7 linked regions of the Oryzias latipes genome follow. The protein of the gene in region 2 binds, or shares a complex with, the protein of the main gene of each other region. Links are inferred from orthologs where the notes say so. Each region holds a gene or a part of one and is shown on either strand. Other genes may lie near its edges.

Region 1 (4,020 bases), on a different chromosome or scaffold from region 2:
AACACTCTGTGCAAGCAATCACACACTGATGTGCACACAAATACACACACGTATCATCACGTATGTTGTGTTAAACTCAATAAAGGTTTTTTTTTTAACATGAACCTTTGATGTACTATTGATCAAATTTTGCATAAAAATGTAAGCTTTTTGTCAGAATTGCTTGGTTGTTAAACAAAAATGTTTTAGAAAACAATTTAAATTTTCATATTAAATCAAAAGCTAAAAACAAAAATAACACTGTTAATCAATACCTAAGAAGCCATAGCTGGGGTTTTTTTTCGGAATTTTTAAATTTTCTTTTTTCTTCATTTAAAAGAAACTCTCCGCTTGTATCAAAATTGTAGTAAAAAAGTACTACTGAAGGAAAACTTAAAAATGAAAAAAATGCAATTTTTAAAAATGTAAAATGCATGATAAGTTATATCCTACAAACACTAAGAATGTCAAGGTTTCATGAATCACTAAATGCAGAAAACAGCAAAAGAGAAAAGTCTGGTTTCTAAGAAAAATGTATCCAAATACAATATGGAACCTTTGATGTACTTTTCATGAGGCTATGTTTTCTTTGGGGTTAGAAAGATTCTTATTTTTCTTTTCAATTTTGGTTCAAATACGATGTTCTTGTTTTGTTTTGCACACTCCGAAGCACAACCTTTGCCCTCTGCTAAATATTCACTAGGCCTATGACAACGTTTATAAAATAAAATGTTACATGTCATTCTTATTTAGTGTCAGGGTCAAGATGAAGTCAGCTTACTTATAATAGTTTGACCATTTTTATTTAAGTGTAAAAAAAAGAAAAAGAATGAATATTAGGTGTTGCTAATTGACTAAGTAGAAAATGAAACATAAAATTCAAAGTTAGACACTTTCACCTGCCCTACTGTATTTAGGGCGTAAAAACAAATGATAGATACATTTTTAAAATTAGAGTCCCCCTCCCCCCCCTTTTTTATGGTTACAGATCTGAACTTTTTTTGCTTGGGTTTGATTTCTTAAGCAGCTTATTTTAAGAACATATTTTAAGATTTATAGGCCTACCAGGATCAGAACCTGAACTCACTATATTAAACAAACAAAAACTAACAAAAAGTTTAAAACAATTAATACAGGAAAGAGATTAGTTTTGAATAAAACCCACTAATTATAAGGTTAATAATGAAATACTTTAAAGGCTTGTCGACGCAACCAATCAACGTCGAGTTTGTTTCCGGGTCACTGTCCAATCCTGGCATCTGAAACTCAACCGGGAAATGAATAAAGCGAAGCTAGTCAGGAGCTAACTGGCTAGAAGAATTTTCATCTAAACTCAACCAATTGAGTCGTTAAACAGGTTTGTACAATAATCAGTTATAAATGTAACCCTTTTATTCGTGTTACAGACCTGTTTCTTTGACTGTAGAGACTGTATTATTCAGCAGATGCAGGAAACGACGTTTGTTGTTAGCCAAACATCAACGGAGCGGTTTTATTAATTAGGTTTTTGTAATAACTTTTACTGTTAGTTAGTATATACGTGGGCTTTTATGTGGTATCTAAATGCACTACGGCGGAATAATTCGAGATTTGTTACGTTAGGTTTGACTTTGACATAGTTCTCAAAATGAATCGTGATGATCATGTGTGTGTCTGTTGTCGACTTGTCCGCCTTCTTACTTAGAAAACAGGTTTAGCTATGTGATGTGTGAACATTATCTGTTGTTGTACTTCTTGTGAGCACGTGTAAAATCCTAAAAAAAACGCGTGGGAAAAAATACTTTTATTGGTTGGAGCGGTTAACGACTCGTTTGGCTACGGTAAACTCTGATCGTGGCAATCTTCAAGTTAAAACATGCACCGACCATATGACATATCCTTCTCTGATTTGAATGTTGTTTTCTTTCCTTCAATAACAATGATACAAAGTGTTGAAAACAGACATCAACAAATATGCATTTTGTAAAAGCTGTGTTTTTTTTAATGTATAGAATGTGCATGTATGCACTTCTCTTTACTAAAATCCACAATTTGACTTGTTTTTGACCCTCATTTGTTCTCTTCTTACATCAGGATGGCTTTTCTTTAAACATTTTTTTAAACTCTGCAGTTTTTTTTTTATTTATTTTTTAATTTTGAATATAAAATCTACTAATTCAGTTGTATTTGCTAAATTGATAGCAGAACAATTATAAGGTTATGTGCACAACAAATAAGCATTTTGAAAAAATGGTGTTAAATCACACAGAAAAAAATCATATTCTTTAACAAGTACAATCTGATAGGGGGGATAGTGATAGATAATATAAATTTAAACATGTTTCAATTGAATAAAAACTGTTTTCTTATAGATAAAGGAATTATAATAATTTGGATTTTTAGTTACCGGTAAGTAGCACAGACAATTTGTTTCAATTAAAAAAACATGAGGATGTAAAGAAGTTTAGGAATCAATCAAAAATCTGTTTAATTGTCCCACAGGTAACTATAATGCAATGGAAGCTGTCACATCTTTATGCCATTTTCCACAGCATTTAGAAATGGCTTTATTGATTAATTATTTTTGGTATTGTAAAACTGATTATGGAAACCTGTATAAGTCTTTTCTCACAATTTTAAAAAAATGTTTCACTTAAAAATTCCTCTACATTTTCTTTAATCTTTTGAAAAATATATTGTAAAACAATGTATTATTGAATAAGTATCTGTAACAGAAACTATAGTAAACCGTGTTAAAATAATTATAACGTTTGTGGATGCATATACAAAACTAGTAATATTAGGCTAAGTGTCAACATTGTACATCTGTTCCTGTGTCTGTTGGTTAATCTGCATTTAATACTTATCTACTCTAACCTAAAAACATGTATATGTTTAAGCTCCACAGATGCATGTTCTTCTTGGTTGTCGCTCTTGCCTCACAGCAAGAAGGCCCCCAGTTCAAGTCCCAGCTGGGGGACCTGAAACAGAATCACCACTGGGGGACCTTTCTCTGTGGCGTTTGCGTGATCCCCTGGTTTTTCTCCAGGGACTCCAGCTCCCTCCCACCGTCCAAAAACAAGCTTCATAAGTTAATTGGTTACTAAATTCTCCCTAGGTGTGAGTGTGCATGGGTGTGTGAACGTGGCTCTGCTACAGACTGGCGAACTGTCCATGATGTCCCCTGCCTTTGCTGAGATAGGCTCCGGCAGCCCCGTGACCCTGAAAGGGACAAAAACGGGTTTAGAAAATGAATAAATAAGGATATTTTTTCTTGAAAGTTATTATTTTGGCACATTAAAAAGGCATAGTTTTGACAAAGTGCTATCATGACTGTGACTTTACTGACTGGAGAAAGCGTTTATGCAAGAGGTAGCTGATGCCATCACCCAGAACATATGAGGGGGTCATTAAAGATTGTTTTACTTCATATAAGTGAGACCCGTGAACTCGCCACAACAGTGGGATCTTATCAGGTGCATGACTGTGTATTTGTTGTTTGGATTCTTTCTAACTTGTAGTTCTATTTATTTTATAATTTTTAGGTCTGCAAAATGGGTGAACCACAGCAGGTCAGCGCACTGCCTCCACCGCCCATGCAGTACATCAAGGAGTATACAGATGAAAACATTCGCAAAGGTCTGGTGCCAAAGCCGCCTCCGCCCATCAGAGACAGCTACATGATGTTTGGCAATCAGTTTCAGTGCGACGACCTTATTATTCGGCCTCTGGAGAGCCAAGGCATCGAGAGGCTGCATCCTATGCAGTTTGACCACAAACGGGAGCTCAAGAAGCTGAACATGTCCATTCTCGTAAACTTTCTGGACCTTTTAGACATCCTTATCAAAAGTCCTGGTAATATTAAACGCGAAGAGAAGATGGAGGACATAAAGCTTTTGTTTGTTCACATGCATCATCTGATCAACGAGTACAGGCCGCACCAAGCCAGGGAGACTCTGAGGGTGATGATGGAGGTGCAGAAGAGGCAGAGGTTGGAGACGGCGGAGAGATTCCAAAAACACCTGGAGAGAGTCGTGGAGATGATCCAAGGGTGTCTTGCTT
Region 2 (3,553 bases):
ACCTCTGTAATTCTGGGGTCCAGCTGAGGCATGGGGCGCCCTGACACCTCCGACATCACCGTCCCCACTTCGGTCTGCTTCTCAGTGATTTTCTCCATGATTATGTCTGCCAGGGTCCTCCTACGAGAAAGAGAAACATGTTAGTAGGGACAGAAGAAACTGGCCTGGTGGTTTCTGTTTGTTGTTGTTGGTTAGTCAGAACTGCCATGTTTCTTGCCTCATTGGTGGGTTTTTATTCATGAACATCTCAATGGCCTTTTCGTCTTCTGGGTCTACAATAATTTCAGCATCACATTCGGTTTCTGCCGCCCCAGAAACTGCTTCTCCCAGTGCGGGCCACTCTTCATCCGAGTCTGCATCCCCAGATTCAGGACCTACAGTTACAGGAGTGTTTAGAACTCACATAATGAAAAGATGCAGATCTAGATGTATGGAATCACCCAACTAACTACAGAAACGAGTAAATGAAAACATTATTACTTCTATTTTTAAGTATTTATTTACTGAAAGTATTTTAATTTGGAGTGTTTACTAAAACCATCATTAGTGAACAGTTAACTTTATTTTTAAGTCATAGCATTAGTGCATCCCTTAGCAAAAAGTAGTCTATTTAAGTAAACTACAAGTATACTGTCTATACTAAAAGTAAAGCAGTAAACTAGAATTTTCTTTTTATATACATTTAAAATTTTCCAATAAAAGTCTGAAAAAGTATTCAGTTACTATATGTCCTACACTACACGTACATGGTCTATACTTGTACACTACTACACACTTATTACTCAAGTATCCTTAAGTAAACTTCAAGTGTACTTGTCTTTGTTAAGGGTAGATGGGTCTGAATTGTGATGAATCTGTGATGCAACTTTACTAAAGTTGGTCATCGTTTTCTTCGGTAAGAAAAACTAGAACAAGAGAGAACCTTTAGAAACCTTAATCAACGGCTTCTGTTTGATCATTTTCTAAACTGAAGCGGATGTCCTGGTTCTGATCCAACATTACCAAGAACAGTGACCGGTGTCGCCTTCTTCTTCTCCGGTACCAGCCCATATTCGGTCTGAAGCTCCTCTTGCTGAATTCGGGCTTGCTGTAGGATTTTCCGCGACAGCCGCTCGTCTACGTAGGTGTCGTCGCTTTCTGGCCGCTGGTCTCTGCTCTTAACCCGGTTGCGGGCTCGGACCGTGTCCGTCTGCAGGATCTGGTCAGCCAGCGCCACGGATCCAGAGCTCTTTTCTCCTCCACCTTTAGATTTCTTCACTTTCGGCATCGCTACAGCTCCAAAAAAATTTACAAGCTAAAGCCTGTCTATGCCTTTTTAGTGTGTAAACACCCAGCTGTTTAGCACGTGCGGACAAACGGCATGCGCGACAGAGGCAGCGGAAATACATTACGTCACATCCGGTTTCATTAAAAATGTTTCGAAACATTATATATGAAAGAACCTATGTTTATTAACTGAGTTAATCAGTTTAACTCAATTCGTCTATGTTCACTTGTATTTTTATTTTATTTTTTCCTTTACCGGAAGTCAATTTGTTTAACCGGAAGTAGTTGCGAAGGAGGCAAAACAAAAATGGGAGTAACTTGGTAAGGAATATTTTGGCTCATTAAAGTGTAATTATTATTTCAACATAGTTTGGTTTCGCTATGTTTATAGGACCTGTCTATTTCAAATGTTTGTTCTTTTGGGGAAAGCGTGCTCCTCCCCTTCATGGATGCGTTGGGTTGTCGCTGCTCAGTCGGGTGTTTTGTCTTTCAGTGTTTGTCAGGTGCCCATAGCGGAGGGCAAGAGTGTGCAGCAGACCGTGGACGTCCTGCAAAAAAAGCTGGAGCAGCTCGGTTCTGTGAAACAAGGCAGCTTCTGCGTGGATTGTGAGACATACCACGCCACGGGAAACGTTGTCGGTAAGCTCGCTACTTTTTCAAGCATCACGCGGGAAACATATTAGTAGTTATTTATTCATGTGGTAATTAGTTGTGGTTGCTTAGACCTTTAAAAAGCAATTAAAAAAAGGTGATTGGCATATGAGCTCCGTTTGTGCCCTTGCATTTAATTGGTAGCATTTTTAACAAGAACATTCAGGGCTTTTGCTAATTCTTCCTTCAGACACATCTGCAGTAAATATGGGACACAATTAAGCATACATAGCCACTTTATCTTATGTGTGTTTGTCAAATTATCTTGAGAATATTTTACAAATTAGATAAGGGTCCTATTAGTTCTACTGGAGTGTGACGACAGATCACCCCTTCAGCTGCACTTTAATGGCTCTGGCCTTTTATGGTAGAAACCATCTCAAAGCCTTACTATAAAACCAAATATTGTTTAAGGTTTTAGACTTTAAAAACCTTTTTTACATCAATAACAGATGTGCCTTTATTTGAATCATGGATGTGGAGTTTATGTATTATTGAGTTGAATGCATCATCCAGTGTTTCCCGTCTGTCACAGGTCAGCCCTCCAAGCTCTTATACGTGATGCATAACTCTGAAACCCCTCTGAGCTGCATGGCCCTATTCGAAGGAGGACCCTACTTAGTAGCTGATGCTAACTTTGACGTCCTCATGTCCAAGTTAAAAAGTCATTTCCAGAACGCCAAGGGACACAAGGTGGAGAGTCGAGGCTCCCGCTACCGATACTGTGACTTTTTGATAAAGGTGGGCACTGTGACGATGAGCTCCAGCGCCAGAGGCATTTCAGTGGAGGTATGGAAATGCAGTTTGTCCCTTTCAGCGGGACGGGTGGACATGATGTGCCCTGTGTGTTTTACTGCAGGTGGAGTACTGCCCCTGTGTGGTTCCTGGGGACTGCTGGAACCTCATGAAGGAGTTCATGCAGTCTTTTCTTGGCACCAGCGTTCCCGAACTTCCATCTGTGTTTGCTGCTAAACCCGAAGGGCTTTTTGCAGCAGCGGACTGTGTTGACACCATGACGCAGTACTTGGAGTTGTTCAACAAACTTCGTAAACTGCAGATCCCAGGGAGTAATGTACGTTAGGTCAGGAAAGCAAACTGGCCTTTTTGTATTTTATTTTCTTTTGGGGGGGGGGGGGGGGGGGGGTTGTATCAAATGCTTGATTATGTTTTTCTGAAACTTTTGAAAACCAACTTCTGGAACATTTATTTTAGGAACTTAGTTGAATGTCTTTGCAATAAAGAAATCAGGTGGAGGTAAGAAACCAGAGCCTTTTTTTAATGTAGCTGATGCATTTTTTAGTTCAGAAAATGTTAGGTGAACTAGAAGGAGCCGCATTTCCAGAAGAAAATTCAGGGTTGAATGCTATATTGTTGAATGAAAATGAACCTTTAAAGGGTAAGAATTGGCACAAAAAAGGAAAGAAATGATCAAAGTTGAACAACAATAAAGTGAAAACAGCACAATAACAAATAGATACGTGTGTGAAAAATGCCAGAGGGATCAAACCAGCGAGCTTCTGCACCAAGGATTCCCCATGGATTTCTATGGAGGCAAAAATCCTGGAATATCTGGAAAAGTTCAAGGATTTGAAGGACTATAAAGCACAAGCCAGTCTCATACTTGATAAATGTCAAT
Region 3 (4,215 bases), on a different chromosome or scaffold from region 2:
GTCCCTCTGACCATCACCAGGACATTCATACACATTCACACAGCAGTGGAGCTGCACTGGAGGCAAGGAGGGTGAAGTGTCTTGCCCAAGGACACAACGACAGTTGAGTGGTGGGACCAGGGATCAAACCGCCGACTCTTCGACCATTGGACGATCTGCTAAACTGCCTAAGCACCTGCATAAGCACCTGCCGCCCCATCAATTTTTAAATGAAATACCGGTTTTCTTAGCAGCTCATTTTTGTTGCAATATGAAAACCCGCCTGTTTTTGGGGATTGGGAGGGGCTGGTGCTCAGAGAGCAGGTTTTTAGAGGAAAACTCAGAAATGCATTAAAGGATCAAAATACTCTTCTGGGGTCGTTTTTCAAGAGGAATTAACAAATATAATACATAAAAAGCTAAAAATAAAATTGATTTTGCATGATATAGGTCATTTAATGAGAACCAATGTTTTTTTATGCCAAATCTTGAGTCGATACAAAAAGATGGCACAAGAGAGTAATTATTTTTTTTGGCAGAGATGAAGATGCTACCTAAAATGGAAGAAGGAATGAATTCTTTAACGAAAACCTTAAACTAAAATCTTTGAGTGTCAACGCTGAAGTCACACAGCTGCTTGAGTATCTGGATGTTACCAGACACAAAATGATACATCCAAATCCACAGACTGAAAGACAAGTGTGTTTGCTCACCTTTCTTAGCCTTTTCAATGGAAGCAAGTTTCTCCTTGGCCTGGTAAACTGCAGTGGCCTTGAAGGAGAAAAAGTCAGTTTAGATTGACAGAAGCTGCTTTCCAAGTGTGATCTTAGATCTGGATCCAGTGACCCCGTCATTCCTACACCTTTCTGTTTTAGGTGCTGGAAAAGAAGCATCATCAAAATGTCTACAATAGTTGATAAAGAATGACATTATTAGCATTAGCTGAGTCCTCAAAAGGCATGGGATGATCCTAGTGTTGGGCAACAGGGCTTGCAGTTCTCCGCGTGCCCCGTTTCACCTGGCAGACTGAGCCCACTACCCCTCCCCTTTCGTTCTCACACACGCAGCCGCGTGTGACAGGAGACGGGAGCGCGCAGCTACAGGGACAGGAATTCACAGGTTTCAGGTTGTCACAAACTCTGTGATTTTACAGACAATAGGAACCGAATAGAGGCGCAGATTTTTTCCCCAAGCACTGAGCCGCTGTCATCACCGCCCCCACGTTAAATATGAGCACCGGACAATTGTCTGTATAACCTGTGCCTAAAACCGCCACTATAGCGCGCCCCCCCCCCCGGCATCGCATCGGGGGGGCGCACCCCACTATTTGAAAAGCACTGCTTTAAACTGTTACACTTTCAGACAGTGGTGAAATTTGTAATGACCCAGATGACTAAGCAATCTTTAGATTACTTTGAACTATATTATTTAATTGACTTAGCTCTCAACATATATGTTACAAAAAAAATTATTTGTCACAGGTTTTTTTTTTTTTTTTTACAGTTGTAGTAAACTGCCAGATTTACAACACATTGAGTTAATTTTTTACAGCAAAAGATATTTAGCCTTTTAGAGTTTTTATACTTTTACTCAACAAATGCTAAAGCCAGCACAGCCATAGATCTGCTTACAGCAGCCTATATGGAGAATGCATTAGACTGGCTTAATCTGCCTATGTGCTAGAAGAATGAGGATTTCTGCTAATGCACCTGTGAATGTAACTACATCACCTTACAGCAGTATCAGATGAAGCAAAAATACACACAACCTCAACCCACCAGGATGTGCTCTGCCTCCTTCAGCTGTTTCTGCAGCTGCTGGATGTCACTGTCTCTCTTCTCCACTTCCTTTTCCAACAGTTGCATCTCCTGATGAATCTTTCCCTGCTGCTGGGCCACCTCCATCAGCTCTTGGAATTCCTTGTCCCTCTGCACCAGAAGCTCCAGGATCTGAAGACAAAACAGGCTCTCCAATAAACACAAGAAGCAGCACTGATCAGACGTCGACTGTGGCCTTTGCTTCCATGGAGACCAGCATCATTTCAAATGGCTAGAGGTGACAGTGCTGCACAGCTCAAACCCAAAACATGAAATGTTTTTTTTCTTCATTTTTTTTAAACATGGCCATATCCAAATAAATGCTGGAATATCAAGAGAGAGGCCGCCCTGATGGCTGAGGCCAAGCCTGTTGTTTTCATGTTTTTAGATGATCTGCTCCTGATGACAACTATTTAACTAAAGAAATAATCAGAAATACAATTTAAGCATACTTTTTTTTGTAAATGTCTTTTACCATCTTTAAAATGCCACAAGAACATTTTAAAAACACAATTTTCTTTGGAGTGGCTCTTTTGGAGTGTTGAACTAGAATAAAAAAGTTGTGTCCTTCACCTGTGTGTCCTCTCCTGGCTGAGGAACTTTCTGGTTTCTGGCCAGAGCCAGCATCTCGATCAGCTCCCTGAAACAGAAGAGCAGACATGGAGGATTCAGCACGAGGAGCTGTGGAGTACGCGGCACAACGGAGGCCATTTAAAGCCCCCCCGGGGGGGGGGCTTTAATTTCAAAGCGTGAACTAAGCCTCATGAGCCTTTACTCTCCACTGGACTTCTGGACTCGAATCAGGACTGTGCAGACCAAGCCGTAAACCCGCCTACTGTGTCGCTACCTAACTACAACACGGAAAACAAAATATGAGCTGTTTCCTTTACCGCGATAACACCTCCAAATCATCCAACACAGAAAGTAGCCGCTCTTTTGTTGACTTCTCTGCTGCCGCCGCCATACCTGTTTCTAAAGCAGAAAGGATATGACGTAATAAAGACTTTACCTCAAATTGTAAGTTACTGTCACCTAGTGGTGGCAAAAGGAATATCATGCTAAAAAGTACGTTTTGCCTATTCCAAGGAGGAAAATCTTAAATTATTTTTGGAACCACGGATAATAATAATTCATAGAAAAGTAATAATATTTTTTGTAAATTGTTTTACTTAAATTACTAAATAAACAGATGTAAAATGTTGATGAAAACAGCCAAATTTTGCAAAAGTTATTTCAGTCTGTGTTCTAAAGTTTTTGCAAAATGATCTAAACAATGATTACTATTTTAAAAATACTGGACAAGCTGCAGTTATTTTAGTGCATAAAGGATGTAAAATGTCTACAGGGTAAAAAAAAGGAATTATTACAATATTTTAGTAATTAGTAATTTACGTAAACGATTTAAAAGCAACTTTTTCTCTTGAACTAAATATGTAGTACGTTTATTTGCCTATTTATCTCTTTGCATACATTTTTTTAAGAATGTATTTTCCATGATAAAAGTTGTTCTGATACAATACAAAAAGCAAAGACAAAACTAGGCAACATATTGCAACAATGTTTATTAATACTAAGATTACTCTGACTTCCTGATTTTTTATTTATTTTATTATTATTTTGTTATGGGTCAAAGTGTTAATGTTAAATTCAGGATAAAATCTCATTATTTGTGTGCATTGACCCATCCCCTGGGTAGCAGTGCACTATAGCTGTGCTAAGGAACTATTTGGTAGTCTAAGTTTCTCTGACTTTGACTCAGCATGAACACACACATCCAAAGCAAGTTTGTTTTGTTGAGGCTGCCAACAGTGAGATAATAGTGAAGCTTTTTTGCAACCAGGCCACTTCCTGATTGTCAAAATAAGAGGGATTCAAAGATGGAAATGAAATGCATTTTTGCCATTGCATCTGAAAACTGCATACTGACTTCATAGGAATTTGAACCATATATGTTTGTCTTCAAGAATGAACATTTCCCCCAAAATATCCAAGTGAAAGCTTTTAAAAATTTTAGAGGCTTCATTACTGTTTTTTTTTTTTAATTTAAAACGTTTTTTAAAAAAATACTTCTGTTTTTGTGGTTGTGAATAATCTTCAGGTCAGCATATCTGTGTAGTTGTTTCTCATTTGAAACCTAATGTTCACAAAGACAAGGCTGGTCTGAAAATAAGGTGATTCAGAAAGAAGTCACTTTTTAAAAGACCCCCCCCCCCCCACACACACACACACACAGGTACACACTTTTGGCATGGTGTTTGGTCTTTAACTGTAGATCTTCTGCAAAAACAACGAAGCCATCCAACAGGATTTAAGCTATTTTTTGTTGCAGCTACGCACTGACAGACCAGAAGAACACATTTTTAACTATGTAGGTCAAGAGGCTTGATCAAAGCTCCTGAAATATCATGCCTCAAGAATC
Region 4 (4,037 bases), on a different chromosome or scaffold from region 2:
CTTTTTTACTTCTATTTGAAGTTTGTTGGAATAAATTGACTAAAGCTAAGAATTTTAATATAGTCGTCTTTTGTGTGCTTTCACTTGTTCAAAAATAAACAATACTGTTAATATTAATAACATTATTTATAGTAAATGTGAAATACTTTGTATTATAAATGTTTATTATGTTGTAGTTCTGCAGCTTTAACTGAGAAAGTAACTTGAAAGTGAAACAGACGTTATGTAATGAACCACAATGATGATACAATAATATTGTAAGATGGGGGATCACTTTTGAATAACAATAACAAGTAACATAATAAAGGTTGGAAGTGAGAAAAGCCAGAATCAGCACATGTCCTAATCTCTGAAATGAAGCCGTGAGAAAAGACACAGAGCTGCAGCCACAGTCCCTCTGATCACCCCTGTGGCAGATGGAGAGCTGTCACCACGCCTCCTCAACAGAGCCCTCAGTGTAAGGTAAAGGAGAAAAGATCATTCTCTCCAGACACACCTCCACACAAACACGCAACTTCATCAGTCCTCTAACACTTGTCCACCTAATATGCACTGATCATCTCTTTCGGTCTTACATAACTCTTGTCCCAGGACACAGACCTCACTCTAGTCAGTACATCATCTCCAGTAACAAGCAGAAAGAAGCTCTTTGTTGGCCCTGACTAATACAAGATTGGTCTGATGGAGATTGATGCAGAGAAAGGGTTCATTTTATTTTTGCAAAACAAATTTTTGTGCACACAAAAAAAAACAAAAATCGAACAAAGAACAAAAGCTCAGAAGCTTTTTTTTATTTTAGATTTTTAAATTAAAAGTGCACTGTGGGTTCCATAAATGTAAATTATTACTACATCATATTGTTATTTACTTATTCCTGTCTTCTCACTGTAAACGACTGGCCCGGGACCAGAGACGCTAATTTAAAATGACAATAAAGATTCCTGATTCCTTATTATTCTAATTTAATCATTGTGTTCATTTTGAAAATATATTTTTCATTATTCTTGCTATTGGGTAGTGATTTTCCAACTTTTTAAAAAAGAAAGAAAAAAGCTGAAATAAGCTTTTTTTTTTTTACTGCAAACTACATTTTAGAGTCCCATTCAATTTCGGATCTACTTCATAAGTTCTGTGGTTAACAGCGACATCTTGTGGTAGTAGACAGATTCTGCAGTCGAAGGTTGAGGCTTAAAAGCGAAAAACATCATTATCCAATCATCGAAAAGAATACTGGTGGAGTGTCGGGAGTAGCCAATGAGCGGCGGTGTTTTTCACAACAGCAATGGGGGTATCCTGCATTGTGGAGCTGTGAAACTAAAAAACAACCACATCTTGCGCTTTAACAAAACGAGAGCAGGTAGATATGAATTAAGTCAATAATGAAACTTTGAGAGGTATGTTCTGGCCTTTTCCGGGGACGATTCTGAGTTTGTTCGCGAAACAAGAGACGTTTAGTTTTTTTCTGTTAGCTAATATTGAGAAGGTATGCTAACAGCGAATCTAACAGCTGCATTGACTTGACCCAGTGTTTATATGTTAAAACGTGTGGCAATTTTGCTATTTTTTTGACATAAGTGAGTTAGCTATTCTCTAACAGATACGTGTGTTCGCTCCTTTCCAGCATGAAGGTGGTTAATTTGAAGCAGGCTATCCTGCAGGCGTGGAAAGAAAGGTGGACAGACTACCAATGGGCTGTCAACATCAAGAAAAACTTTCCAAAGGGAGCAACATGGGACTACCTTAACCTCGCAGGTTGTTGATTGTGATAAACAACGTCGGCGTTTCATCCTATAACATGTATGCATTTAATTTTCATTATTTTCTTTGTGTTTTCCAGAAGCTTTGATGGAGCAGGCAATGATTGGTCCATCCCCTAACCCACTCATCTTATCCTACCTTAAATATGCTATAAGTTCACAGGTTGGAAAGGAACTTTTATTTTGAAAACTGAACACACACATATATATACACATAAATGTGTATATACATAAATGTGTGTATATATATATATTTTTAAATAATGACTGTTAATGTTTCACTTTTCTAGATGGTGTCCTATGCTAGTGTGCTCACAGCCATCAGCAAGGTGTGTTTGATCATAAAAAGGACAGAAGATTCGCATTTAAATGGATCTCTGCTGCATTTGTAACCAATGTGTTTTGTTTATAGTTTGACGATTTCTCGCGGGACCTCTGTGTGAAGTCATTGCTGGACATAATAGACATGTTCTGCTGTCGCCTAAGGTCTGAATACTTCTGAGTAAACACCACTATTCTCTCCTTGTGACTTTCTCTTGTACATTTTTGTTATTTTATTTATTTATTTTTTGGACAGCAAATTTGTCAGGGTTTTAAATCTTCAATCTGCCTCACTTTAACTTGGAATTTTCAACAATTTTTATTGATATGTTTTTTTTTTAATTAAATCTTAACTGATTTACTTGTGTGCCAAGCCTTGTCTTATTGTTATTTCCCCAATACTTCACTTGCATATTGTATTTTATCTTATATTTGTACTATAGCTTTAATTGTTAATACTGTACATTGTTGTCTTCTCACTCAGCTGCCATGGCAAAGCAGAGGAATGCATTGGGTTGTGTCGGGCTTTGCTTGGGGTGGTGGTCTGGCTGCTGCAGGCCTGTGCGTGGTACTGCGAGAACCTGAGAGAGCTCGGACCGGTACCCAGCATAGAGGCTATTCTCAGAACATGTCAGGAGAGGCTTCATACCCTGATGAAAAGCACCAAGAACAGAGCTCTGGTTCATATCGCCCGATTAGAAGATCAAGGTTTGGGAATAAAATATTGAAAGACAATATTGAAATATGAATGTTATGGAAGAGAATGTAGGCATTTGTGCACACAAAGGTTATGGTCTTTGTTTGCATGTTCACCATTTGTAAGGTTTGATGTGAAATTCCTCTTCCAAAGGGTCCTGGAACAATGTGGAGCAAGCAGTGATTAAAGTTACGGAAGGTCTTGGAAATGTACCAAACCAAACATTAAGGACTTCACTGGAAGAAAGTTTGTTTTTAGTAAAAAGGTGAAGGTTCCTCAGCCACTAAGCTCTTACTCAAAAGTGTTTTAAAACATTAAAAAAAGTTAATTTTTCTTGGGATGACTCTTGACTCTCCCCAGTATTCCCAGCATGCTCTCTGTGCAGTGTGAGCTTCCAGTGCGTGCCTCCTTCCCATCAGTTCATGCCTTCATCATGCTGGAGGCAACCATGAATTTAATCGGAGAGATCCAGCCTTTGGTGGAGCAGTTAATGATGATCAAGAGAATGCAGGTGAGCTTGAAATTCATGACAAAATATTTCTATAATTTCTGTGATCTTCAGCCCTAAGTCAGAAATAGTCATATTCTTTTTGCAAATATTTTGCAGGTGAATTACCGGTAGTTTGAACATTGCAATTATGACTATGTAAAATATGTTAATTTGTAAAACTGTATTAAGAATTTACACATTTTTGCTCCTTCATGTTGACATAATCAGACCCTCTGAGCCTGAAGAGAACCATTTTTTCTTAATTTACTGTGCAATTACATTAAATTACATTCATATTTAGCTTTTTTAGCTTTGCTTTATACTGAAGTTTTTTATTTGTAATGAATAATTTACCTGCAAATGAAAGTGTCATCTCTCTATCTATCTAACTATCTATCTATCTATCTATCTATCTATCTATCTATCTATCTATCTATCTATCTATCTATCTATCTATCTCTTTATCTCTCTATCTATGACATAACAGAAAGAAGGTTCATGGTTAAATCATGTACGCTGAGCAAAACAATTATGTAACAAACATATTTGGGGTAAAAGTATTTTAAGCCATTTTTCTTCTAATTTTACCTCACAGTAGCATATTGAGAAAATTTCTCTTTGCAAATTAAAATAATTTGATTACATGAAAATTTAATTTAACCGTTGTTTCACAGTAATGGAACTTGTGTACAAAATGTTAAAAAATATTTATTTGCAACAACACATATCCATGAAAGATTTGCAATAAACTTTACATTAATGACATAATAAA
Region 5 (4,150 bases), on a different chromosome or scaffold from region 2:
AGTTTTAATGAGCCTGAGGTTTTAACAGCTCCATCACACCTTTTCTATGTTCACCCTCTAGCATTTCCTTTGCTTTGCACTTGCTGTGTTTTCAGAAGACGGACAAGTGTGAGTAATAATCCTTTACATTTTCCACAAATCATAAAGTGACTAATCATTTACTAATCATTTTCCACTAATCATTATTTCTTTATTTGCAGGTGGAAGAAGAACCCTCCATTGTTTATTCCTTAATTGCCTTTAGAACCCCTGCAAAGACCAATGGCCGTGAATTAGCCCACAATGAAACCATTTACAGTGAAATAAAATTCACAAAAAGCAGTTTGGATAGGTTGAGCAGGTAATTGTTGCGATATTTTAGCAGTTCTGAAGTTGCCTTAACATGGATTCTGTTTTGTGAGTTGAAGTAAACTTCACCCTACAAGGTCCAAAATGGAAACCCTTAGAAGGGTTTTTTCCATTGTGTCAGAAAATGAATAACTGCTTGCTAATTATCTTTATGAAATATAGCATTGCTTTGTGTCTGTACCTGATACTGTCAGCAAGTGCTTTGAAAACAGAAAACAAGTTCCTTTAAATTATTCTGAACCATTATTTTTTCTGACACAAATTTTGTTAAATATTTTTTCTTTAAAGGCTTCGGAATCCGTCAAAACACAGTTTTTATATCTTTATTATTTTATGTGTAAAATATGCATCTGATGGAATGTTTGTCATTTACTTTAAAAGGTTAAGCACAAATCTTAAAAAAGTTTGTGAACCTCAATCAGCCAAAAACTATAGCAGCATGTCTGAATTTTAAATGTTTTATTCAATGTTTTAAAAAGAAAATATTTAACAAAAACTAATTGTAAAAATATTGTAATTGTTGTGAAGACAGCATCTGAGTTTTAAAAAAAAGGCCCACAGAGCTAGGCTTTTATTTTTTTATGTGCCAGCAATTACTATTACAACATTTTCGGTATGAAATCTACATATATATTTTTATTATTTTTAAATATGTGCAAGGTTTTCAAATACATTTAGTTACTTATCTGCACTGATAATAGTTTCAATTTTTAGAGCACGTTTTGGTTTGTGAGTGTTTTTGTAAATCAAATGACTTGAAGTTGATTTTTAAAAAAATGTTATTTATGGATTGTATTTTTAAAGTAACCCCTGTTTGGGTTACTGTAATTGATCCTTTTTCTACATTGCTAAAATTTAAGTTCAATAAGTGTATTCAACGTGTACTTATTGTTTTATCATTTGCCTAAATACCTGTTTGCGCGGAAAAAGCTAACACAGAAAGTTGCTTCCATGAATGGTTATATTCCGGGGTTTCAGTAGGTGGCAGTAACGAGCTTTAAACTGGATTGAAAGCGCCTTTTAAAAACAAAAGCCAAGGAAGAACTTGGGCGCCTTTGTTTTCTGATTAGCATCAAATTTTGGTTGTTTTTAGAACGGGTTACAATATATATTTCATTAACACTTTTTTTATTTTTTAAGTTAAGTACGAATGCCTTAAATTACTTTGTTGATGACAGTAACAGCTCAAATCGTGAGTTGGTAATTCCATGTAGGCTAACTGTTAACTGGTACTAGCAGCCGTGTGGATATTAGCTAACCGGTGAAACAGGGGGCCCACCGTGGAAACCAACCACAAACAGCAAAAATATCTTAACTTTAGTCAGTTCTAACGCTGCGCCGAACTCTTTATTCTGCTCAGGTAAACCATCTTACTCTGTAGTGAGAAACGTCTACTGCTTTTGCTAGTTAGCATAAGCCTGCTATTGGTAGTTGTATTTGTTCGCTAATTTAGCTAACAACTGTTTTCTGTTTACTCATTCATTCATTGGTAATGTCACTCACATGTATCATCAAACAACTGCAAATGAAATAGAGTAGTCCAACAACACTTTGCAAAAAGTAGCCTATTTAGTTTACTACATGTATAATTGGCTAGTGGGACGATATACTTGAAGTAAACTTTTAAACACAATCTAGTATTGCTAAATTCAAAACATAAAATGTTCCAATTTAGTCTGAAGAAGTTTTCAGTCAGTTAATACTTCTTTCACAATATACACATGGTCTATCGTACACTTGTACTTATTCTCACGTGTCCTCAATGAAATAAACTTCAAGTGTAGTACTTTTTGCTAAGTGAATGACAATGCCATCATTCACTATTACTTTAAATCAGGAAGAAGATGGAAGCTCCTCCTGTCACAGTTATGCCCGTCACCGGCGGTGCCATCAACATGATGGAATATCTGTTACAAGGTGAGACGATTCAGATATAGAAGGTTCAACCAGAGATATAGAGGCTTGATATATTTACAGATAAAACGGTGTATTTTTCCAGAATACATATATTAGAAGCCAGTATGAAGTTCACTGGCTAAATTATTTGAAAAATAATGTTTACATCTTCATTCTGTTGCTAAAACCAACTTCTATCCATTAATATTAGTCTTTAAAAAAAAACTATTAAGTTGAGCTAATTATTTTTCCATCATGAGTGTTGGTGTAGCATTAAAGAGCAAACCACACTGTCAAGAGTGTGGAAAGAGTGCTCAGTTACTTTCTGTCTTGAAAATAATATATATTTCTAAGGTTTTCCTGTCCTGTTTGTGCTGCACTTTACTGGACACATTTGTATTTAGTAAACTGAAGTATTTAAGATTATATAGATGCATAAAGATTTATGGAAAAATAATCCTCAAGTCAGGAAAGCTTTTTTTAAATTTTTTTATTCATGAAACCTGTTATTCATGTTTTCATCACATCTGAAGTGTTTATTGAAACTGTGTTTGTAAAAAAAAGAGATCTAAAACGAACACTAATTTTAACATTGAACATTTTTTAATTTCATGATGGAGGATTATATGTTTAATATTCATTTTTAAAAAGTTGTATCACAGCAGGAAATAATTATAGTGGGAGTAAAGAACTTACTATATGAGTCTTTAAAGGATATTCTATTTTCTCGTTTTTTTCAGGCAGTGTTTTGGATCAGGCTCTGGAAAGCCTCCTGCATCGCCTGCGTGGTCTCTGTGACAACATGGAACCAGAGACTTTCACCGACCACGAGCTGGTTTACCTTTTGAAAGGCCAGCAAGGCAACCCCTTCATTCTGCGTGCCAGACGCTCCCTCTCCCACCCTACTTCTCCATGGCACCTGCGGTATCTAGGCCAGCCAGAAGTGGGAGACAAGAGCCGCCATGCTCTGGTTCGCAACTGTGTCGATGTAGCTGCCTCTCAAAGCCTTCCGGAGTTCCTCAATGAGATGGGCTTTCGCATGGACCATGAGTTTGTGGCCAGTGGTCACATATTTCGCAAAGGAGCAATGAAAGTTGTGGTTAGCAAGGTTTCACGCATCCTAGTACCAGGGAACACGGAAAATACAGAGCGAATGTCGCTGTCGTATTTAGTGGAACTGAGCATTTTGGCTCCGGCCGGACAGGACACCGTGTCAGAAGACATGCGCAGCTTTGCCGAGCAGCTCAAACCTCTGATTCATCTGGAGAAGATTGACCCAAGCAAGCAGAGACATTAAGCATTAATGGAAAAAAATGTTTTTGTTATTGTTTTCCTTTCCATTTAAATGCTTTTTAATGTGATGAAATACAGATTTACTTTGCTTAAACTGTTACAGTTGTGGTTAATCTGACCTGTCAGAGTATTTTTTTAATTTATTTTTTACTTTTTGTGCCTACTATAAAGAAAATATTATAGTAACAAATAGCTGGAAAATACTTAAATATATTTTAAGTTGACAAACATTTTGCAATGCCTCAGATGGCTTATGTTATTGCTTTAAAAATTTTTTTTTAAATCTTCAATTTCATTTTTTTATATAATAAATGTCCACCAGGGGTCTCTCTTTCCACAAGGATGGTCTTAATTGGAGCAAAGTGAACGCTACCTCTCATCATCTACAGGAGCTCTGGTTGCCATGGAAATAATTAGCTGTGCGATCTGCACATCGTTTACCCCACTCTAATTAGCTTTCTCAATTGCTTAATGATACATAGACCTGTGAAAGCCTTTCTTTCTTCCTTTCCACAAAAGCATTGATTTTCCCTCTCTTCCCCTTTCATTTCTACTGTTAACCCATTAGTATCCTTTCTTTTTTTCATGGGAACTTGAGCTGGGACTATTACAA
Region 6 (4,057 bases), on a different chromosome or scaffold from region 2:
GTAGCTTACAGTTAACAATAAAGTAAGAAAGGCTGAATTAATACTTTAAAAAAAAAAACAACTCCCAGGAAGGATCCGGGTCGTGTCTTTCACACCAAAGAGCCGACTTTAAGGTTGTTTCACTTGCTACTGACACATCAGTACACGAGTCTCTGCTCTGCTGCTCACCTGCTGCTCCTCAGGGATAACAAGACTCCTTGCAGGATCTCTTTTTGTCTTTTTCATCTTTGAGCCAGTTTGGAAAGCAAAGCGACTGCAGCAATGAGGGGATGTCTGTACTTTGACCGATCCCCCATGCTGCTATGTGCCAGTAATTCCGTCTTTTTTTATAATTAGTCTCTGTTTCATTTCAATTAACAGAGAAAAAGTCAAAGCCTGCAAAATCTAAGTAACAAAGTAACAAGGGTTTCTATAGTCCAGTAACTGTAATTCATTACAGAATATGAGCTGTAATTTGTTATGTTCTACCGTTACTGACAAAAGTAATTAAATTACAGTAATTTGTTACTTTGTAATCCATTACCCCAACACTGAGCAACATACAGAAGTGAGGATATTTATCAGTTTAAACAAACACATTTCTGTCTTTAATGAAGAAAGGTCAGGAAAAAAAAAAAAAAAAAACTAAATGAGTAAAATAGGTGAATCTGATCTTTAATGTGATACATAATATGGAAAAACATGAAAATTGGAGTAATATTTTTGGCTTTTCAGAGCTTTTTGTTCCTTCTTTTCATTGGGCAGTCATAAAAACAGGTTTTCATGGAATATTCGTGTTGAGGCCTTGCAGGGCTTCAGATTATTGAAGGATTTCAAGCCTCCAACCAAACGAACTTCCAGTTAAGGAATGTAGTTTCTGGCTTCACTTTTCAGGGAAGTTAAAGAACAAATGTTAAAGAAAAGATGAAGAGACTTACAGTTCAGGTAGTACGGATTTGCCAAACACTGCACAAACTCCAGCTCGGCCTGGAAGCGGTGCCGGGCCTGCTCATCTGGACCAGAAAAGACAGCATCACACAAAAGTAAAAAACACTGCGAATTCTGAAACAATAAGCAGTTTGGGCCTGACGACCTGCTGCAGTTATTATTATTATTATTTTTTTGCTGCTCTGATATTTCCATGATTCGTGTGTTATGCTAACACTGTAAATGAGTTTTATTTCCCCAAACACATTTCCTGTGTTAGACCAGTGGACTGGGTGATAAGTTAGAAACTATATAAGCGCGACGCAAGAACTGGTTTATTGTCAGACTACATTTTCACAAACGAGCCTCTGAGGTTCGGCTACTAAATACAACCAAACAAAAAGATGCGACCGACAAAAACGTCTGACTAAAGTAAATGTGAGTTCAACCAGTACACAATTTTACTAGCAGTGTCCTGAAAACCTTAGAGGGTCAGTCACCGCACAGTGAGTGCGGGAACAACTGTCACCAGAAATCTATGTTTTGAGTAGAACTCCTGGTTCCATGTTGGGGTGGAATCTCAGTCATTCAGGTCATGATAAAATGAAAAGTTCCAAAAGTATTCAACTGGACAAAGTTTCTGGTTTGAAGACGTTTCGCCTCTCACCCGAGCAGTTTCTTCAGTTCTGTCCAACTGGTGCTGAGCTAGAGATTTACATCCTCCTCGCTGGAGTCCTTTGATGGCCAACCAAACCCCCCAGTGACTGATTCGTTGACCCCTGTGTCCCGGTTGTGTCTATCTCTTCCTTTTCCTCACTGACGGTGCTTTCTGCCCAGAGAAACCTTTAAGAGGGCCTGACGCTTGTTTGTGTAATATTCAATAGAATGAGGGTTTTTATTTAGCGTTGTAGTAATGTGCGTTAGCAGCTGAAGGTGGGTAAAATGCCTGACTGAGGCAAACATCAAGCGTCACAGACAGATGTGGAGCAGTGGACGTCGTTTTTCAAAATAAAACCTTCATAAACACCTGATTAACAGAAAAAAGGAAGAGTGGTACCGATATGGAGCTGGAGACCACTGTCCCCGGTGAATCATTGAGTTAATGGGGTAGTTAAGGTAGTATGTCTGATAAAATCTCACATTTACAAAGTTATTCAAACCTGATAGAGCTTTATTAAACCCACGTGAACTAGTGTGTTGTCCTTATGTCGGTCTTTGGTTTATTTATTGGTTAAAGAGAGTTAGCAGTTTGCTAAAATTAGCCCAACGTTTTTGAAATTATGAATTATATGCAGTCTGAAGATCTTACTTATTCCTGCTCAAGCGACCTGTACTAGTATGTCGGGGTTTACTTTGGCTTCTTTATGAAAAATGTGTCAAGATGGACGAGCTTCATATTCTATCTTTTTAAACTTTCTCATAAATGTCATATTACTTATTTTACGGACTACAGCGAAAAAATCCCCGCGTTAATCGCCGACATTATTAATTTATTATTTACGAAAAATTTTCGGCTTGTTGTACGCACGAACTCAGGTTAATAAAAGCATCAACACAGCTTTAAGTCTTTTACAAAAGTTAGAAATACACAGTTTCTCAAATGTCAAATAAAAACACAAGAATAATGAAGACATTCATCATCCTCCCATATAGTTAGACTTAGAAGAACCAAAGCTAACAAAAATAGGTTTAGCTACAAACCTGTTTCCATGGTATCGACCCGAACAGTAACTATTTACTGTCCACAAACTGAGCAGGGCTTCCAGAAAGAGCAGAAAATCCTTATATGTGTTTAAATGTTTAACAAATCTTCAGTCCAGCTGCTTTTGTTTAGCTTTCATCAGCCGTAAGTGAACTACTCGGGCAAAACCACTTCCGACTTTGCGACACCTGCTATCTACTTTACGGCTTTTTTTCTTTTGCAACAAAACTTTGTTGTTCAGCACACGGACAACAAAAACTGAGACAGAAAATACCCAACACAAATAAAAAATACTTGTTAATCATACTTTTGGTTATATAGTGTTTGAAGTCTGAAGAAATAAACATTAAATGTCATCATGAAACAGAAATAATTTGAACAGTGAATAAAAAACGTCCATGTTTATTTGAGTCTTTGTTATTTATTGGAAAAACACAGAAATTAAATGATCAAAAAGCAGTAAACGGAAAATGTTTTGTTATTTTTCATCCAGTCTGATGTTAATGTTTTTCTCTGAACACTGAAAAATATGAGAATATGCAAAAACTTTAGGTAATCAAAATGTTTCACACTTGATTCATAGGATTTCTGATCTTGTAGTTCAGCATCTGGCCGTATGATTGCTGTATGAATGATTGTGGCGCTCCATGTATGTATGTATGATTGTGGCCCATGTGTGATTGTGGCGCTCCACAATCTTACTAGGCTGTGCTTTTCCTGCCAGCATCTTACACCCTGCAGTTATGTGCTGGATTGTTTCAGGCGCCTCTTTGCACAGCCTACACCTTGGGTCTTGTCTGGTGTGGTAGATCTGAGCCTCCATTGCTCTGGTGTTCAGGGTTTGTTCCTGGGCTGCCAGGATGAGTGCTTCAGTGCTGTCCTGTAGGCCAGCCCTTTCTAGCCATTGGTAGCACTTCTTGATATCAGCAGCTTCAGTTATGGTCCGGTTTGTCCTCCCATGAGGATTTGTCCTCTAGCACTGCATCCCTCTCCGTTGCCTGAGACATTCACTGAACACACTGTCAGTTGGGGCCTTGAGTTTGATGTATTTGTGTGCAGCAGGAAGAAAGAAATAAGAAAGTGCACTCGCTGTAGTTAAACACAGTGACGTATGCTTCAGAGGACGTTCAATTGGCTGTTCTGCATGTCAATCAAGTGACATCTTTCCTGCCGAGGATGATGATTCACTGACAGATTTTTAAAAAATATATTTTGATATTTATTTCTTATTTTTGATGACCTGCAATCTACAGTTCCATCCTTCGTGATCGACATAATGAGCACCCCTGACCTAAAGGATTTGAATGTGGACCATAAAATAACACTCTTTACATGTTTGAGTGATAAAGTTTTATTATCAACAAGTAAAAGGAGTTAGCAACAGGTTTGTAAAAAACAGGAAGATACATATGTACACAACACACACATACGTGCATACACAAACACACA
Region 7 (3,985 bases), on a different chromosome or scaffold from region 2:
GGTCATACAGCCAGACAGGATCAGAGCAGACAGAGGGCCAACACTCAGACAGGAATAAAACCCCCACCACCACCATTGTCAACAGCAATAGTTCCTCGCGTTCTCCCTTAAAAGTTGTGACACAACGTCCACCCCCATCAGGCTCAGCGCTGCAACACAGACTCAGAAGAGCGGAGCTCAGGTTTTTTCACGTCGTTTCAGTGCAGAAACAAGAGAAAGACACTTGTATAATAAAGGCCACACAAACCAAGCTGCTTTTCTGGGTTTTATTGAAAACATGTCATTGTGCTGTTAAGATTTAGCCATAAAGGATCCCATGCTGCCACCTAGTGGCTGTATAGAGAGCTTCAAAGGGGGACGTGAAGGTGGACCCAGTAACAGACTGATGTTCCTGCATCTGAGCAGTAAAGAGGCGGGCGGGGGAGATCACCGGTTGTAAGGGTGAATGGAACCCGATGCAGACTTGATGTTTGTCTTGATGCTGCTTGGCATTTTTCCTGGACAAAAATAAAGAAATAAAAATGTGTCTCCAATACAAAAAACTTAATACATTTTACCAGTACAGTTTCCTACCTGGCTGACCTTGCTGCTGGGGGGCCCCAGGCCCTCCCATACCTGCTTGCTGGTTTGACCCGCCACCAATAGTGACCTGCTGTAACGTTGGACCTCCGCTCATCATGGGCCCCTGCCCTGGGTGGCCAGGGGCCACAGGGCCAGGAGGTCTACACTTGGAGAGTCCCTTCCCAAAAGCCACAGCTGCTACCAAGGCACTGGTGTCTGTGGGGTTGAAGGACGCTTTGTTCTGCCGCACTGCTGGAAGATAAACACACTCAGCTCTTTCTACAATAAGGACAACAAGGGATTTACACAAACGAGCGACCCACCAGAAGCATCTCCCTCTCTGTCCTCTCGAGGGTTGTTCAGCTTCTCCAGAAGGTTGGAACACAGCTTGTTCAGAGCCTGGATATGCTTCTGTGGATTAGCACAGACAAACACTAAACACCTTCTGAGCACAGACAACAGATAACAAACATCCATGCGCCTCCTGACCTGAGCCAACTCAGGACCAATCCTGACCGCCTCTGCACTCAGCTGCTTCTCCTGCTCTTCCACCTCGGGGTCAGGCTTGGTCCTCAAGTGATCTGGCACAATCTCGTGACTGAACACCGGGACGCGTTGCTCTGTGAGTTTCTGAGGGGGGTGTGGGGGTGGACAGGATAGTTAGAGGTCTTTCACCACACAGGACAGCCTGCAAATGTTGCGGCGACACTCACAGCTAAATCCTCATCCCGGTCAGGAGACAGGAGCAGCGGGATGATGACCTGACTCCGGAAAGCTGGGGTCTTCTCGTTCCTCAGCAGCTTGTTGATGGTGTTCAGCTGACCCGAGAGGAGAGCAAAGTTGTCCAAAACAGATGGCCTGAGGGACAGGAAAGATTTGAGAGGGGGGTGAGAAAACTTTTGCAGGTAAACATGGAGACACAAACACTTTCTAAAAGACGCATGCACACGTACAAATACACGCACGCAAATACAGACACCAATGCTACAACAAGCTGGCAGTTACCATAGATCTGTGTTGGCTTGCTTGTTTTTCTTTAGTTTCGTTTTTTTTTTTCTCTAATTATTATTCTGTTTTTTGACAGAATTGTTGTTTTTTACACAAGTGCAGTGGCGTGCCTGCTAGTCCTTTGGACTATTTATCCCCCACTTTCTGGGTCTGAAGCGGTCTGTGGGTACATCGTCTACACGGTCAGCTGTTGTTGCTTGGCAACAACAACATGCCGCTGGAGAAGCAATCCCAGATCGCAGGAGATACTGAGGAGACTGGGGTTCTCCTGAGTTTTCAGGACTCTTTTTAATGATGGCATTGTTGCGTCTGCCCTCTTCTATGGTTTGAGCTGCTGGAGGTGTGAATGCACAAACAGGAACAAGAAGAGGATCAACAAACTGGAGCGGAGATCCGGCTACGTTCTGGGATGTCTCCTAGAATCGGTAACTGTGGTGGGTGAGAGTAAAATGTTACAGAAACTGAACTCCATCATGGACACTCCTCTTCTTCATCATCATCATCATCCTTTGTATGGGTGTACTGAGCAGCTCCTTTACACCTTGTTGCAGGAAGGAGCACTTTCCCAGATCTTTCTTCCCGTCAGCTATTAGACTCTGCAATGCCTTATAGACATTGGACAAAAATGATTGCTGTTAATTGTTTAAGTGTATTTTTAGTGTTATTAATATATATCTGATGTTTTATTGGAGCTATGGCAACAACAAGGTAATTTCCCCTTTTGTGGGATCAACAAAGATTTATAGTCTAAGTGCGCTCGCGCACACATGCACACGCACGATATGCACTCACTTGTTAACTTCGCATGTTTCCAGGCTTTTATTTATCATAATCAAAGGAGGGGGGATACGTTACGTCATAAGGGCAGGAGGACCCACCATGTCAGACGTTCGTACTCATTCTCCAGCTTGTAGATGAAGCTGCTCAGGGCGTTTTTAACGTGAGCCACCCGGGAGATGAGAGACTCCACCGCCGTCTCCAGCTGCTTCTCCTCCCGCTGCTGAAACACAAAAAGGACGAGCAGAGAGGCCCGGACAGATTACACAGCGCCCGAGCTAGCATCAGTCCAAAGTATCGTCCACAGTAGGTCAGAAGAATCACAGACAACCGAGTGAAATTATTTCAGACTCACTTGCATTGTTGATCTGTCAGCGACCCGGAAGTCTTCTAGGTTGTACTTCCGCTTTGCGCTTTCCAAAAAAAAGAGATGCTTCTTCTTCTCTGGTCAAATCTGACGGTGTGTTTGTGCTCCCTTGTGGCTACAGCAGGTACCCATACCACCCATCCTCTTGTTTTTTTCTTTTCTTTTTTTATTTATTGTTCAATAAATATTTGTTTCTGAGGGTTTTGCACCCTTTAATATTGTTTTCTTTCGTCCAAATTCTCTGTTCCAGGCCAAAATAATGTACTAGAACTGTCCCGTCAGAGTCATTAATCCAGTCTATACTGACTTTTTTAAAATAGAGAATCAACGATGGTGTTGACTAAAAAAAAATGAGAAATTGCAGCAACCAAAGTGAAATTGAAGAGCTGAGAGCAGAATCAGAGGATGAGTCCTGCAGACAGTTGTGAAGGAAGCACAGAGAAGGTGCAGCTTACAGGGAGACAGAGATAAAAGCTCAGAGCAGAAACAATTTAGTCTTCCTGGTATTTATTAAAAACAAATGATATGTTTAGTGTTTTTGTTTCTGTGTGTGATCATGGGTCTTCTGTAACAAGCTGTATATTGTTCTGGTTATCTTTAGTGGAAGCTCCAAATGTCCCAGAATCTTGGCCAACCATTACAAAATCAGTTCTTTTCAAGTTTATGAGTCATCAACATTATCTATTTAGTTCGGCTTTATTATTAACATTCACCGGTCCAGGCATCAGACTAAAATACAAGCCTTATAAAAACAGAGACCTGATTGTTTGGTGCAACCTTGGAGAAGAGCTCTCTGACCTAAGACCTCAAAAGTGTCTCTTAGACTGAATCCTAACACCATTTGACCCAGCAGTGGTCTGGTGAACTGCCCAGGGTGTATCCCACCTTTGCCTTTCAGTAGCTGGGTGGGCTCTAGGACACCCAGCATACTTTTTTTTTATATACATGAATAAAGGTGGTTTAGAAGATGGATCAATGTTTCTAGCAGTGTAAACTCTATATGCAACTGCTATTTTTACTTCAGGATCAGAGTTCAGATAATGTTTGCATGAGCAAATGTCCAACGTGACAAAATAAATTAGCCTGAAGAATCATGCCAGCTGTTCATACACACTTAAGAGTTAATAAAAGACACTCCAGAAAAGTTCAAATAGGACATCCACATTCAACAGGTCTGCACAGTTTCGTTTATTGCTCTGAAATGAGTGTAAAACGGAAACTCTAGAAGTAGTTTTCCACATCGCCTGTTTCCACCACCACCGTCTTCAGCTG

Evidence for each region.
Region 1: med20 (region 2) and med7 share a complex: the UniProt entries of both Homo sapiens proteins name them as parts of the mediator complex. The link is inferred for Oryzias latipes from reciprocal best matches to the Homo sapiens genes MED20 and MED7.
Region 3: med20 (region 2) and med4 share a complex: the UniProt entries of both Homo sapiens proteins name them as parts of the mediator complex. The link is inferred for Oryzias latipes from reciprocal best matches to the Homo sapiens genes MED20 and MED4.
Region 4: med20 (region 2) and med24 share a complex: the UniProt entries of both Homo sapiens proteins name them as parts of the mediator complex. The link is inferred for Oryzias latipes from reciprocal best matches to the Homo sapiens genes MED20 and MED24.
Region 5: med20 (region 2) and med18 share a complex: the UniProt entries of both Homo sapiens proteins name them as parts of the mediator complex. The link is inferred for Oryzias latipes from reciprocal best matches to the Homo sapiens genes MED20 and MED18.
Region 6: med20 (region 2) and med31 share a complex: the UniProt entries of both Homo sapiens proteins name them as parts of the mediator complex. The link is inferred for Oryzias latipes from reciprocal best matches to the Homo sapiens genes MED20 and MED31.
Region 7: med20 (region 2) and med8 share a complex: the UniProt entries of both Homo sapiens proteins name them as parts of the mediator complex. The link is inferred for Oryzias latipes from reciprocal best matches to the Homo sapiens genes MED20 and MED8.

Annotation. Positions count from the first base shown.
Region 1 is NC_019868.2:21,185,906-21,189,925, reverse strand, and holds the start of med7 (mediator of RNA polymerase II transcription subunit 7), read left to right. Parts: upstream 1-1,220; 5' UTR 1,221-1,336; intron 1,337-3,503; 5' UTR 3,504-3,512; coding exon 3,513-4,020. UniProt on the Homo sapiens protein: Component of the Mediator complex, a coactivator involved in the regulated transcription of nearly all RNA polymerase II-dependent genes.
Region 2 is NC_019863.2:2,278,108-2,281,660, forward strand, and holds med20 (mediator of RNA polymerase II transcription subunit 20), read left to right. Parts: upstream 1-1,463; 5' UTR 1,464-1,573; coding exon 1,574-1,587; intron 1,588-1,759; coding exon 1,760-1,905; intron 1,906-2,452; coding exon 2,453-2,706; intron 2,707-2,776; coding exon 2,777-2,998; 3' UTR 2,999-3,053; downstream 3,054-3,553. Other genes in the region: bysl (bystin), read right to left, coding at 1-120, 218-374, 1,003-1,267. UniProt on the Homo sapiens protein: Component of the Mediator complex, a coactivator involved in the regulated transcription of nearly all RNA polymerase II-dependent genes.
Region 3 is NC_019879.2:14,006,626-14,010,840, forward strand, and holds the start of med4 (mediator of RNA polymerase II transcription subunit 4), read right to left. Parts: upstream 2,801-4,215; 5' UTR 2,761-2,800; coding exon 2,687-2,760; intron 2,437-2,686; coding exon 2,370-2,436; intron 1,929-2,369; coding exon 1,758-1,928; intron 751-1,757; coding exon 693-750; intron 1-692. UniProt on the Homo sapiens protein: Component of the Mediator complex, a coactivator involved in the regulated transcription of nearly all RNA polymerase II-dependent genes.
Region 4 is NC_019877.2:9,580,059-9,584,095, forward strand, and holds the start of med24 (mediator of RNA polymerase II transcription subunit 24), read left to right. Parts: upstream 1-1,237; 5' UTR 1,238-1,357; intron 1,358-1,363; exon of another isoform or gene 1,364-1,483; intron 1,484-1,621; 5' UTR 1,622-1,622; coding exon 1,623-1,752; intron 1,753-1,837; coding exon 1,838-1,920; intron 1,921-2,047; coding exon 2,048-2,086; intron 2,087-2,169; coding exon 2,170-2,243; intron 2,244-2,562; coding exon 2,563-2,786; intron 2,787-2,928; coding exon 2,929-3,040; intron 3,041-3,135; coding exon 3,136-3,286; intron 3,287-4,037. UniProt on the Homo sapiens protein: Component of the Mediator complex, a coactivator involved in the regulated transcription of nearly all RNA polymerase II-dependent genes.
Region 5 is NC_019874.2:22,764,196-22,768,345, reverse strand, and holds med18 (mediator of RNA polymerase II transcription subunit 18), read left to right. Parts: upstream 1-1,351; 5' UTR 1,352-1,708; intron 1,709-2,185; 5' UTR 2,186-2,192; coding exon 2,193-2,265; intron 2,266-2,984; coding exon 2,985-3,541; 3' UTR 3,542-3,650; downstream 3,651-4,150. UniProt on the Homo sapiens protein: Component of the Mediator complex, a coactivator involved in the regulated transcription of nearly all RNA polymerase II-dependent genes.
Region 6 is NC_019872.2:23,702,723-23,706,779, reverse strand, and holds the start of med31 (mediator of RNA polymerase II transcription subunit 31), read right to left. Parts: upstream 2,801-4,057; 5' UTR 2,618-2,800; coding exon 2,608-2,617; intron 993-2,607; coding exon 918-992; intron 1-917. UniProt on the Homo sapiens protein: Component of the Mediator complex, a coactivator involved in the regulated transcription of nearly all RNA polymerase II-dependent genes.
Region 7 is NC_019862.2:24,741,084-24,745,068, reverse strand, and holds med8 (mediator of RNA polymerase II transcription subunit 8), read right to left. Parts: upstream 2,801-3,985; 5' UTR 2,708-2,800; coding exon 2,702-2,707; intron 2,570-2,701; coding exon 2,448-2,569; intron 1,420-2,447; coding exon 1,275-1,419; intron 1,192-1,274; coding exon 1,051-1,191; intron 973-1,050; coding exon 885-972; intron 814-884; coding exon 574-813; intron 498-573; coding exon 427-497; 3' UTR 253-426; downstream 1-252. UniProt on the Homo sapiens protein: Component of the Mediator complex, a coactivator involved in the regulated transcription of nearly all RNA polymerase II-dependent genes.